Daphnia pulex: one gene and its partner. The protein of the gene in region 1 interacts with the protein of each later gene in a biochemical or structural test. Links are inferred from orthologs where the notes say so. Each region holds a gene or a part of one and is shown in the gene's direction. Other genes may lie near its edges. The genes, in order: general vesicular transport factor p115-like and syntaxin-5-like.

Region 1 (6,485 bases):
AAAAGAACTGTTTTTTGCTTTGATCAAGGTGAAAATTTAGAAGAGAATAAGGGAGAAAAAGTGGGCCGGTCTTTGTTAGTGAAAGAACAAGGGCGATTGATGGCGACTGCAAAGTGAAACAGCCTTTTCAACGTGAATGGTGCCCATCGACTGAGAAAGAAAGGCCTCTGTTCTCGAGTTGACTACCTTAGCAACGACCACTGCAGACTGACGGTGCGTTCACTCGGTTTCCAAGCAGACGACATTGTTTCAACTGACGCCAGAGCCCTCTGTGCACAGAATCTTCTAGATAATTTGATTCTAATTACGTACTTGATCAACACGAAAGTTGATTGTAATTATTTTACATTGAACTGAAGCTATTTTTAAGTAATTTAAAGCGTGAAAATGAAAAGATTTCATTAGTTATGAATTAAATATCCATCGCCAGCCGTCGAGTGTCGCTGGTGTAGCGTGGTGTTTCTTTGTCCCGGATCCGAGAGTGACTACGTTATCTGTTGTGAACTTTGATGTTCCTTTCTTTGTCTGGGAGGGGTTTGCCAGGGTAATGGGGATATTGGCGTATAGTGTGTATTGCCCTAGCGGCCCACAGCAACAGTGACGTCACACGCAATCACCCCATATTTTTACTTCATCTTTTTTCTTTGTTTTCTTTTATTTAAACTCAACCTCTTTTTCTTTGTCTTGGGAGACTTGAATTTTTTTTTCCGGAGAAATTTTTCTTATCTCTTACATCAGCCATTTTTATTTTACTGTATCAAAATTTCCGAACTGGTTTTTTAAAGGCTTCTAGAAAAAACCAGAAGACGGAAAAAAGATAACAACGTTTTGCATGACGGACTGAATGAACAAAGGGCAAATATAAAACAAAAAATCCAAGTGAAATAAAAATAATAACGTAGGGGGTACTACAAGGAAGGGAGTTCCTGGTTTCCCTGCTCGACATCACGTAGGCTAAGGGCTTCGGATGGCAACAGCAACTTAAAACTACCGGTGAGCCAATAGCCATCCAGAGACATTGTGTTGTTGTGTATATTATATACTGTATATACTCTGTTGCTGACTGCTCACGGCAGTCCAGGAAGAGTTTGCAACCAGCAGCTGCCAGCCGGATGCGAGGTGCAGGGAAAGAAATGGATTAAAGTTGAGAAGAAAAAAAAGGTACGCTATATAATAGTACCACCAATCAATAATTCTAGCTGCAACAAAGAACTTTTTTTTCTGGATGTGCTAGGGGATATATCACAGTTCAGCCTTGTTTTCAACAGAACCCTGAAACGTTAAAATTCCATTTTTGGGAAAAAAGGATATGGGATTATAAGGATTTATAGCTTCCTCATGTCTACTGTGTGGTTGGCTAATGTATGCAAAAAAGATATAAGGCTGTTGGCAGCAGACTGGCAGCAGACCACTCGCTGCAAAATCGGGCGTTATAAGCAGGTATTTCAAGTTCTTGCGGATAGGGATTCTTTTTTTTAAAAAAACCTTTGACAACAATAAAAACAACAAAAGAACAAGGGAAAGGAAAGCCTTGGGCATGATATCCCGTTTGACACTTCCCACACAATTTGTGCGTGAAGGTCGAGATAGATCTCGTCAGTAGATAAAAATAATTTTCCAAACTAGAATTATACATGAATCTTTGTGGACCAAGCAGCAGCACGACCGCTGCTTACAGTGGTCCTCCTTGCTGCACGGTTCTTTGTTTCACCTGGTAAAAGATTGCCTGTGGCCAGCAGGCTGTAACCCAATCCGTTCTTCCCCTCGATCGATCGACAGGATGTCAAGTCTAGAATTATATTCGTTAAATATTAGACGCGGCACGGAGCGAAAGGATATCCTCAGCGCGTGATAGGATATGTATTTCAAATTAACAGAGAATTCGTCAAAAGGATCAAATTTGACCTCGAGCCAACACCCGATACCTGCGAATCTGTCAAATCTAACACGAAATCCCATTCAAAAAGCCCTCCCTAGTGACCGGCTCAACGCGGCCCATTTTAAATATCTGGCAACAAAGCCAAGCAGACGAAATTGGTTGAATCGAAATGACGTGTAACCCAAACGGCTTTGATTCCAAATTTAGAAGTAAATAAATAAATAAATAGAACTATTATAGACATACTTTCCCAAAGTCGTGATGGATTATTTTTTCGGCTTCAAGTCTGTCATCAGCCAGCCGGAAGCGGAGCCTTCTCCTGCTGACACGGTAATTCAATTGACATTAATTAACGTCAATCACTTAAGTGCAGTCGTGTCCTTGACCGTTTTCTTTTCTGATAAACAGCTGTGGCCCGTAAAATTCGATGGCGTGTGAAGGACTTTTTGAGTTTATTTTTGGGGGAATTCGTGTCAAGATTGCTTCTTTAAAATATTCTTTTTTTCTATTCATCAGGTGCTGAGACTGGTTGAGAGAGTCACATCTTCGACTCTGCTGGAGGACAAACGGGATGCCTGCAGAGCCATCAAAGCCCTTTCCAAAAAGTATCGATTGGAAGTGGGGGCCCACGGCTTGGATGCCTTGATTGAGGTGCTCAATGGCCAGCCGGATCTGGAGACATCCAGTTTCGTCCTGGAAACATTATGCAATGTAACTTCATCAGAGGTTTTTGAAGAAGAGGGTGTCGGTGCCCCAGTTGGAGAGCAGTTCACTGAAATCTTTCTCAAAAAAGCAGAGAATGTCATAAGCGTCATCACGTTACTAGACGAATATGATTTTCACGTTCGACTTCCAGCGATTCGTCTGCTAATGAACCTCTTAAACAACAAGTCAGTGTCTATTTTTAACTCGTTCATTATTTTAAAAAAAACCTTTTATTAATTATACACATTTTTTCACAGATCGAAAGAAATGCAGGAAATTGTTCTGGCATGTCCGATGGGTGTGGCCAAATTAATCGATATCCTCAGTGATAGCCGGGATTTCGTGCGAAACGAAGCCTTACTCCTTCTCATCCAGCTGACTAAAAGCAATGCCAACATTCAAAACATTATCGCCTATGAACGTGGTTTCGACCAGCTCTTTCAAGTCGTTCGCAGCGAGGGCTACAGTGACGGCGGTATCGTCGTAGACGATTCCCTACAACTTATGCTCAACCTCCTCAAACGCAACGCCTCAAACCAGACAGTCTTTCGAGAAGGTAATCCATCTAATTCATTTCAATTCGAATTCTATTTTAAAAAGTCGATTGCAACCACCAGAATCCTGCATGAAGCACATCACACCGTTTTTCCAGTCATGCCAACAGTCGGAGGGGGGTGATCCAACTGGCAGTTGGTCTATACAGAAGATTAGCAATGTACATTCCATGCTTCAGGTATAAACAAAATCATCATCGACAGCCTAATTCTATAAATAAAAAGGGAAAGAGTGAGAGTTAGTAAGTACTGTTATATATCTCTTCCCCACAGGTGGTAAGAACATTGGTATCTCCGGCCAACGCCACTCAAGTGGTGTCTCCAGCCCAGAAAAATGTGGCCGGCTGTGGTCTGCTTTCCGAATTGTGTGCTCTACTCATGTCGCCCGGCGTTCCGGCTGACATCCTCAGCGAAATCATCTGCACAGTCGGCGAATCGATTCGCGGCTGCCGGAGCAATCAAGAATTCTTTGGCCAAGTGATGGCCTCTTCGTCACCGCCGCGAACAGCCTTGGTCGTTCTCCTCATGTCTATGGTCAACGAAAAGCAGCCGGTGCTGCTCCGAGCGTCCGTTCTCTACTGTTTCGAGTGTTTCCTCTACAAGAACGATTTCAGTCAGGGACAGATTATCCAGGCACTTTTACCCACATCGGCAGAAGGTGAATAATAATCCCCCCCGCAAGAGAAAGTGATATCCAGCCGGCATGGAAACATTAAACCTGTTTTCTCTTTTTTTCGTATCATAGCCATGCAGCAAATTTCAGCTGGCCAATTATTGTGCGGTGGACTGTTCTCGACCGACTGCCTTTCTCACTGGCTCTCTTCCGTGGCACTCTCTCACGCTCTTGTCAACAACACCAACAACAGGGAACTGTTGCTAAGGGTGCACTTGGCTATCGCCAAAGATGTCGCACCCGTTTCCCTCCTACAACAAGCTTTTAGTATACTCCAATTGGTAAATTTCTTGATTCAAATTCATCTTGAACTATACGTTTCTGACTAACATTTATGTGTGTCTCAGGGTGGCAAGTTGCAGACTCGACTGGGTATTCTGACGTTATTGTCCACCTGGTTGGCAGATAGCCCCAACTCTGTGGCTCAATTTTTAAAACTCCCAAATGCTGTGGCATTTTTAACGGCCCTGGTAAAATCCCATTTCAAATTATCTTAAAGTATCTCCTAGTAAAAGAAAAATTGGGAAATGTTATCTTAGGTGGCTTCCAATGAGCACGACGACCAAGAGGTGCTTGTGCAGAGCTTGTGCGCTTTTCTCCTAGGACTCTGCGTGGTCTACAACAACGATGCAAACAGCAACTTTTCCAAGGTATATTTTCGTTGCTGCCCAGTTGCACCTAGTCATTTACTGTATTGAGTGTTATCGTCATGTAGGAATCCCTGTGCCAACTAATAACCAAGCGAATCGGAGTCGAAACATTCGTCGACAAACTTGCCGAGATCGCTAAACACGAAGTGTACAGCAAAGCCCTCAAACACCCTCAAATTCGGATCAATACCGCGGCTGATATCCAATTCGATCACGAGTTCTGTCGCTTGTACAAAGGTATTCAATTTCCCGCTGGCAGCCATGGCTACTCGATCAACGTATAGAGTTGACTGACAGGACTTGGATTGGATTTCATCTTTAGATATAGCTTTAACCAGTTCTTTTTTTTCCTTCTTGTGTTTCGTTCTATTAATAGGACTAGAGGGTGTCATTGCCAAAGCGGTGGCTCCGCCTACCAGTCCTAAAGGAGCCGAATCCCCGTCCGAATCGATGGTAGGTCGTAATAATCGTAATAATAATCGATATCTATGATACAAATATCTTTTAATCGGAATTGAAGGCTTTGGCCAAATACAAGGACGTCATTCGTGAGCAAGATGGACAGATACAACACCTGCGGCAGCGATTAGCTGCCTTGGAAGGGGATCACATAGCCGCTCAGGTATATTTTCCCGAGAAAACCTTTACGCTGGGAGAACAATTTCTTGATTTACCTTGTGACGCACTCTCAGAGCAAGATCGAAGAGTTGAACGTCAACGTGCAGCACCTCCAGGATCAAAATACATTGCTCAAGGCCCAACGGAACAATAACGTCATAATTGACGGAGGCGAGCCTTCAACTCCGCCACCCGAATCGTCGACTGACAAGTTGGTGAAAGAGCTGGAAGCGTTACGTCTAGACAATGAGAGACTTCGCGGTCAGCTGGAAGAGCAGCAACAAGCTGCCAATCACTACGTTGGCATTCCTCCGTCTGTGAGTATACATGTCATGATGCGGATGCATTTTGGGATTCCTTTTGCAGCTTTTGCATGGTTTACTGATTCAACACATATATTATCCGCTGCATGTAGAACGGAATCGCTGTCGAATTCGCTTCAACCCAATCGGCTTCCATAATGGATAGCTTTACCACGCATGAAGTATCAGCAGCTATTTTTCTGTTTGGAATCATTCCTGGATGATTGTCATCTCTTTTTTAATTTTATTTTTTTTTCAGGACGTCCAAGTGTGTTCGTTCTTTCGTCAACCGGAATCAACGTCGGCAGCTAATCCGCTCGAGCTAGAGCTCAAAGCAGTCAAGAGTCGACTGGAAGCGATGGAAGCGGAATTAGGCGATTCGCAGAAGCGATTGGCTGACTGTCTGTCGGTCAATGCCGGACTTCAAGACGAGATTGAACGAGTCAAAAAAGATCAGGAAGACTTGCTTGTCCTTTTAGCCGATCAGGATGGACAGGTGCTAAAATATAAGGACCGGTTGAAAAACCTCGGTCAAACGGTAATTCATACTTTAATATTAATTTCATTGTATTTCATTCATTCATTCATTTTTAATAATTTCAGGTCAGTGAAGATGAAGATGATGAGCTGGACGATTTGGCTGGCGATGACGAACTTTCAGTTTGAAAAAACAAAACCAAACTAAATAATTATTAAATTGATAAATTTATATTTTTAAAAAATTATTATTATATGGCCTCTGGGGGGGAAAAGAGTAAGAATCTTTTGTTTTAAAACAGGCGAAACACCCACACCAATTATCCATTGAAAAAGTCTAACCTTGTGCGTGTGTGTTGCAGATTACCGACGTTGGTAAAGTTAGTGAGACTCTGTGTGTGTACATCTTTGTCTTGTCTCGGAAAGCATACAATTGTTCCAAAAGGTCAACCACCATTATCGGACTGACACGAGCCTCTTAATCCTCCACGTTTTTCACTATCCACGCGCCGTCCGTTTATCCTGGCCAACCGCTTTTTCTTTTTTTAGAAACGAAATCATCAGTGGAGAGTGAAATCGATTTCCGATAAATGCTATCGCACTTTTTTCCAAAATCTATTTGGGCAA
Region 2 (6,342 bases), on another chromosome or scaffold:
GCAAAGAACTTTGTTTGATATTCTTCCTCTGAAGCTTCCATTTGTTTTGTTCTTGACCCTGGGCCTCTGCCCCTCTGGGCATGGTAGTGGGCGATGGACAAGGAGGAGTTTATGCGTGAGCGTACTCTTACGTGCTCAAATATAAACTTCCATGTAGTTGTTTACGTGGTGACCTCCAAGTCCTCAACCGATAGCTTTGACTTACAAATGAGTTAATCATTCAATCCGGTTTGAGCGTATGTTTGCGTTATTTGTGCTTTGAGGAGAGTTGAATGACCAATTATGTTTTTTTTTTTCGTATGCATTTGAAATGTCACCGTATCGTATACATCAACATGTCGAGAATTTTTGGCTTTGATACAATACAACGTCTTCCTGATTTCACGGTCAAGAATGAACAAGCTGGTTTGCCAAACTAGTTTTGGATACTGCTGCGCTTTTTAATGTAAGCAATGCATATTTTCTAAAATCAAGCACGCACGTTTGCGCAGGTGAATGAACGAAAAATCTTGATTTGCATGACAAGAAGAATCCATCCATCCTACTCAAACTTGGGCCAACTCATCTGTTCAAAAGAAAAGAAAAGGTCAAAAATAAAATAAATAAAAGGTGATGTCATAAAAATAAAAATGATTTGTCTTAAAAAAAACACATCAACTGCTGCTTCAAATTTCAATGGAAAATGTATTAAATGACAAGATACGAGCGGTTCTTGACTCCTCAGAGTGTGTGGATTAGGGGGAATTTCTTAAATTGATTCTTGGTGAGTAATTTTACAATTACCTTTGGCCAAATGTACGGGGAATATTTTTAGAACAAAGTAGAACCAATAGCGATCGAATGAAATTCAGAAAAAAAATTATAAAAAGTTAAAAACTGACTGAAGATTGCTTGAAACTGATTTGAAAATGCTAATTTTCTTTGAGAAAAAAACTGGAATTTGAACATTCATGTTTTTTTTATTTGCTTTTTTTTTTTTTTGCTTTTGCATTTTTGATTCTTCATTGTCTTGTTACCAAATGTTGACAGCCGCGGAGTTGTTAAACCGGAAAAGCTTGTCCGCTAGAAAACGAATGAATAGTCACGCAGCATTGCAGTACAAGAACAATTCTTATGGCAAAGATAGATGATCCTCCTACGTGGTTCGGACCACCGAAGGAAATATCCTTTCTGAACAAGAAGGACTGAAACTATCCGCCAATACAACATAAAAATGTTAGAAGTGAAGAAGGAAGTGCAAAAAAAAAAAAAAAAATGGGCATCCGCGGCTATATTAATGCGTGACTCGGTAATTCCTGATCAAGTAACCAGTAATCTTCGTTCGAGAAAACAACTCCTTTTCATCGGCAGCTAGAAGAAAAATTCAACACAATGAAGTACTTATTGGTATGATCACTGTTACATTTACTTTGTATCTGTTACACCTGTATTATATTTAGACATAGGCCGTAGAATCAATTTAAATGGAATTCATTTGGGATGTAGTGCAGCGATTTATTGAAATAGTATTTCATGTATTCTATTTCCTGAATGATTTTTAAAAATTCGTATTTAAAGCCTTGCCTCTAAGCTACCAAGCGGCCAAAAGCACGGCGAAAGTGATTTTACCAATAACAAATTATGACTGTGTATACTCTTTGATAAATATTTAATGAAAATGCGTTTGATTTCAATAGGTGAAGATTTTTATTGTGGTAGCCATCATTTCGCTGGCTAATTCCCAGCAGAGTGCTTCAAAAACAACGCCCAAAACTGTTAAACAGGTATCGACGACGGCTAAGCCCATGGCTGGTGCTGCTACGACTGTTAAGCGTTCATCGACAACGGTTAAGCGCGCAGGAACAACAGCTAAACCGAGAACAACTACTGTCAAGCGGGCAGGAACAACAGCTAAACCGAGAACCACTACTGTTAGGCGTGGACCTGCACCCACAACTGCCAAGCGCGCATCTACAACACCTAGACCTAGGACCACTACTGTCAAGCGCGCACCTACAACTGCTAAGCGCGCGTCCACTACGGTTAAGCGCACAGCCACGACCAAGAAAGTTTAAATGATTCAATTCCGGCCATCATTTTCTTTGTTGTTTCTTCAATCTTTACATATCTATAGGCCCACAGTTAAACATTCCATCGTTGTTTCGAATATGAGCAGGCCGTCTCTTTCTGAGTAATACGACTCAATTTGCTATTCTTATTTAATTGGCAGTGATATTTAGTAAATATAATATGCAGAAATCGTTTGTTATCAATATTATTTCATTTACGATTTTATTTCCGTACAACCAAATACTATTTGCTTGTGTTTTATAGGGATTTGAAGATTTACGTAAGCTTTGGCAATCAAGCGTAAATCTTGAGACGGTTGTTAAAAATTTTTGGAAAGGAAATAAAATAAAATTAACAGAAATGCTTTACAAATTTATATGTAAAAAAAAATGTTTGGGAACTTCTGTGTTCAACAGTAGAATTACACATGAGTACACTTTTCTAAGTGTGCATTATAATATTGTTTTGGTCTTCCCTCGCTAGCAATGAAAACGGCTTTTCCTAAATAAAAAAAAATAAATTGAGATGAAAACATAATTTTGATTGGTATGACGCGGGAACGATGGAGAACCTAGTACGTAAGTCATACTTCTCTTAGGAGGAATTTGCGACATTTAAAGCAAACCAACATTGTAGAAAGATAAAGTCTATACATAGTAATTAATAATAGTAATTGATAAAGCTGGATAAAGGTTAAAATAAAATGATAAATATTGAACTTTATACAGTAGATAATTAACGTTGGCAACGTTGGGAATTACGGCTAATGTTTGGTATTTTTTCGTCTGCACACACTCTGCAGACAACCCTTAATATGACGTGGCATTCGGTATAGTTTCTTGTCGCAAAATATCTGGCGTTCCCGATTATTTGGATTTCAAAGACGAAAACGGATGAATTTTTCGAGAGATAAATTTTTGACGGATGATTACTCGAAGACGCCGGCAAGGCTCTGAATCGGAGCATCAGCCGCTTGCTGAAACCCAACTGCAAAACCAAGTCCTGAAAGGCTCTTCATCCGTTTTACTGTGGTCGGGAGAAAGTCCTCAACAGCAGCCATCCTTTTTCATTGTTCCGCAGGGTGAAATAGGTGCATTTGTTGCACCAAATTATTCAACAGATAAATTTGTAGATGTTCAAGCAAAAACCAACAGCGCTGACATGATGGCCCTAGCATCTAATTCGAGTTCATCAGTTCTGTCTTCCACCAATGCTTCTTCACGTGATCGGACTGCAGAGTTTCTCTCTGCAGTCAGAAGCTTCCAGAGTAGGCCAGTTAACGGAGTAGTTGGGAGGCCGAGTCAATCACATCCATCTAAGAATACAGATCAACATCAACAGTACTCTGAATTCATGAAAGTGGCAAAGTAAGTTGTCGACTTTTAAGAAAATATTTGCAACTATTGAAAATATTCAAATTTTTTTCTGTACAGAGTTATTAGTAAGGATTTGAGCAACACATATGCAAAACTGGAAAAACTAACTCTATGTAATTAGCTTTGTTTTTAATTTCTACTGTTCAACCAATCATTTCATGGTTTCACATTTATGCTTGCAGTGGCGAAAAAACGAACGCTATTTGATGATCGTCCTCAAGAGATCCAAGAACTGACTTACATCATCCGTGAAGATATCACAAATCTGAACAAACAGATTGCTCATCTGCAAGGATTCATGAAAAAGCAACAGAATCAACAACAAAATACCAAGGCCCATTCAGCAAATGTCGTTGTAGCTCTTCAGTCGAAGCTAGCCAATATGTCTTCTGAATTCAAACAAGTCCTTGAAGTCCGCACTGAGGTACACGCCTTTCCTAGTTTAAAAAATAACTACTAGATTTTATTATCTAGGATATTCAGTAAAATGAATGTTTTGAAAATATTTTAGAATCTTAAAGCCCAGAGAAGCCGTCGAGAACAGTTTTCTGGCTCCGTCCCAGTCGTTTCTGATTTACCGGCTGCAGCCTTGACAGGAGGACCGTTTGGATCCTCTCAAAATGGTTCTAAAGGATCTGTTCTACTCCGTGATGCTGCCTATCAAGCCCATGGAGGAGAAGCAGTAGCTATCGACATGGGTGCCGCTGACAACAGAACCAACAGGAATCAAATTCAGCAGCAAGTGTTTGCCGACGAAACAGAATCTTACCTGCAAAGTCGTTCTGACGCAGTCCAAAGTATAGAATCCACTATCGTGGAGTTGGGCGGAATTTTCCAGCAACTGGCTCTCATGGTTCGCGAACAAGAAGAAATGGTTCAGCGGTAATAATATTAATTATTTTAGAATATGTTATAACAAAGAATTTATGGAAATATTTTTCTTCGTGTAGGATTGACTCGAATGTCGACGATGCCCAACTTAATGTGGAAGCCGCTCATGACGAACTCTTGCGTTACTTTCGTTCCGTCTCTTCTAATAGGTGGCTGATGCTAAAAGTCTTTGGGGTTGTCCTTGTGTTTGTTGTAATATTCGCCATCTTTTTTGCTTGAAAATTATCTAAAGTACGATTTCCAATTCATTTACCAATACAATTTTCGATCCTAATGAATTTAAAACTCACGGTTCGTTTCTCCATTGTGCTTGATTAACGAATGTAGATGTGCCCTCTGACGAAAATGTTGCCCAGCAGACTTCTGGTGATTTTCATGATGAAGTTATAAACTGTGATGTATTAAGAATAAAATTCAATAGTAAAATATCAGAAGAATAAATAAATTCTAATCTATATTTGACATCTTCAATATTATAGCTAGCCAGCTAGTATTTTTTTAAATTGCATTCCAATTCCATTCATTTCCGTCAGCTGTATTTTGAAAGGTTGTTTAGAATCACCCTCTGATCTAAAAAAATACCGCAACAATTTTCCCAAAGTTTAGTACTAGCCCGCAGTTCTGAATCTTCGAGTGTGTGCTCTCTTACTCCGAAGAGGGGCGTCCCTAAACTGCGAAAGCGAAACGCGAAACGCGAAACGCCTAAAATGCGAAACAGCTGTGCGAAACGGACCCAAAAGTTGAGACCCTGTTTCGCATTTTAGTCTTTGGGTCCGTACTAAACTGCGAAATCGGTGTGTGCGAAACGTCGCAGTGTAAACGTCTTGGTAGCAGACGACAATGGACGCCGTCAACAAACAAATTGTTAAGAGTTTCAAATTTTCGAGTTTCGCGCACCTTATGGCTGGTCTATTTGTGTGTTGACCATGAATACGAAATACCTTGAATGCAATATGTAATAGGTGTTTTAATTAGAAGATTGGTATAAAAAAATTAATGGAACTTCTCGTTTCCATACTGTATCAGTATCAATCAGATTAACATTCTTAATTTTAAGGAAAGTTTTAGCTGATTAAATTTTAGCTTGATTTGGAACATGGTAGCTTTGACTTTTAGCTTGATATAAGGCACTCATACTGTTATGGCCGATTCTTTCTTTGTGCACGTACCTACTGGTTGATTTAAATTATTTAATGTAATCCGATGTAATCCCTGGGCCATTACCTAATATTTTATTATTTAAAAATATCACCATAACGTGCTGCTCTATGTCTTTCATTAGTTTAATAATCGTAAAATGCGCATCAAAACATACAGGGGTAGTGGCGAAGAAATCGAATTTGATTGCCCCCCTTCCTCCTTTAATGCCTCATCATAGCAGACAATGAAAAATGGCGGCAATTTCCGTCAATTTGGACCTCTGTGCCTCTGTGGAGAATAGGAAAACTTTTTGTTTCGCAAGATGTTTCGCTCTTTAGTATGCCCTCCGGCATTTGGTCCCGCGAAACGGTCCCAAAATTTTGGTCCGTTTCGCACAGCTTTTCCGCATTTTAGGCGTTTCGCGTTTCGCGTTTCGCTTTCGCAGTTTAGGGACGCCCTCCGAAGAGTGGAAAACTGAAAAATGGCTTCAATGTTACGTTCGGGAAAGTTTTTTCGGTTATTCTCTAATTTAACAAGAAGTTTTGATTTAAATAATGGTGGAAGGAGTAATAATGAATTACTGCTTGGTGCACGTAGAGGAGAATGGGAAACTAATATTCAGAGGTTTGTTGTTTTTCAACTTATTATCGTGTCCGTAAAACACCGGTACCCACGTGACTCGATAATGTTAAATACCGCTAAATTGTATTTTATTTCTAGATCCTTTTCTGCTGCCCAGCTACCATTAAAGAACTTAAATGATAATACTGTTCAGCAACCTCCGATTTCCACAATAAATGATAGTGTAGACAAGGCCATTGAGAAAGCTGAGTTGGATGCAAAAAAATCTGGTCGCATCACAAAAGATGATATTCTTGATATCATT

Evidence for each region.
Region 2: the proteins of general vesicular transport factor p115-like (region 1) and syntaxin-5-like form a complex in vitro, tested with the Homo sapiens proteins (2 studies listed by BioGRID). The link is inferred for Daphnia pulex from reciprocal best matches to the Homo sapiens genes USO1 and STX5.

What each region holds. Positions count from the first base shown.
Region 1 is NC_060025.1:2,004,802-2,011,286, reverse strand, and holds general vesicular transport factor p115-like, read left to right. Parts: upstream 1-2,020; 5' UTR 2,021-2,140; coding exon 2,141-2,209; intron 2,210-2,395; coding exon 2,396-2,769; intron 2,770-2,841; coding exon 2,842-3,140; intron 3,141-3,201; coding exon 3,202-3,317; intron 3,318-3,411; coding exon 3,412-3,796; intron 3,797-3,883; coding exon 3,884-4,092; intron 4,093-4,158; coding exon 4,159-4,281; intron 4,282-4,350; coding exon 4,351-4,461; intron 4,462-4,526; coding exon 4,527-4,698; intron 4,699-4,837; coding exon 4,838-4,914; intron 4,915-4,981; coding exon 4,982-5,083; intron 5,084-5,153; coding exon 5,154-5,396; intron 5,397-5,494; coding exon 5,495-5,563; intron 5,564-5,640; coding exon 5,641-5,919; intron 5,920-5,984; coding exon 5,985-6,047; 3' UTR 6,048-6,308; downstream 6,309-6,485. UniProt on the Homo sapiens protein: General vesicular transport factor required for intercisternal transport in the Golgi stack; it is required for transcytotic fusion and/or subsequent binding of the vesicles to the target membrane.
Region 2 is NC_060017.1:4,339,987-4,346,328, forward strand, and holds syntaxin-5-like, read left to right. Parts: upstream 1-2,819; 5' UTR 2,820-2,973; coding exon 2,974-3,416; intron 3,417-3,482; coding exon 3,483-3,538; intron 3,539-3,607; coding exon 3,608-3,849; intron 3,850-3,936; coding exon 3,937-4,307; intron 4,308-4,375; coding exon 4,376-4,535; 3' UTR 4,536-4,773; downstream 4,774-6,342. Other genes in the region: proteoglycan 4-like, read left to right, coding at 1,372-1,386, 1,677-2,054; leucine-rich PPR motif-containing protein, mitochondrial-like, read left to right, coding at 5,938-6,080, 6,177-6,342. UniProt on the Homo sapiens protein: Mediates endoplasmic reticulum to Golgi transport.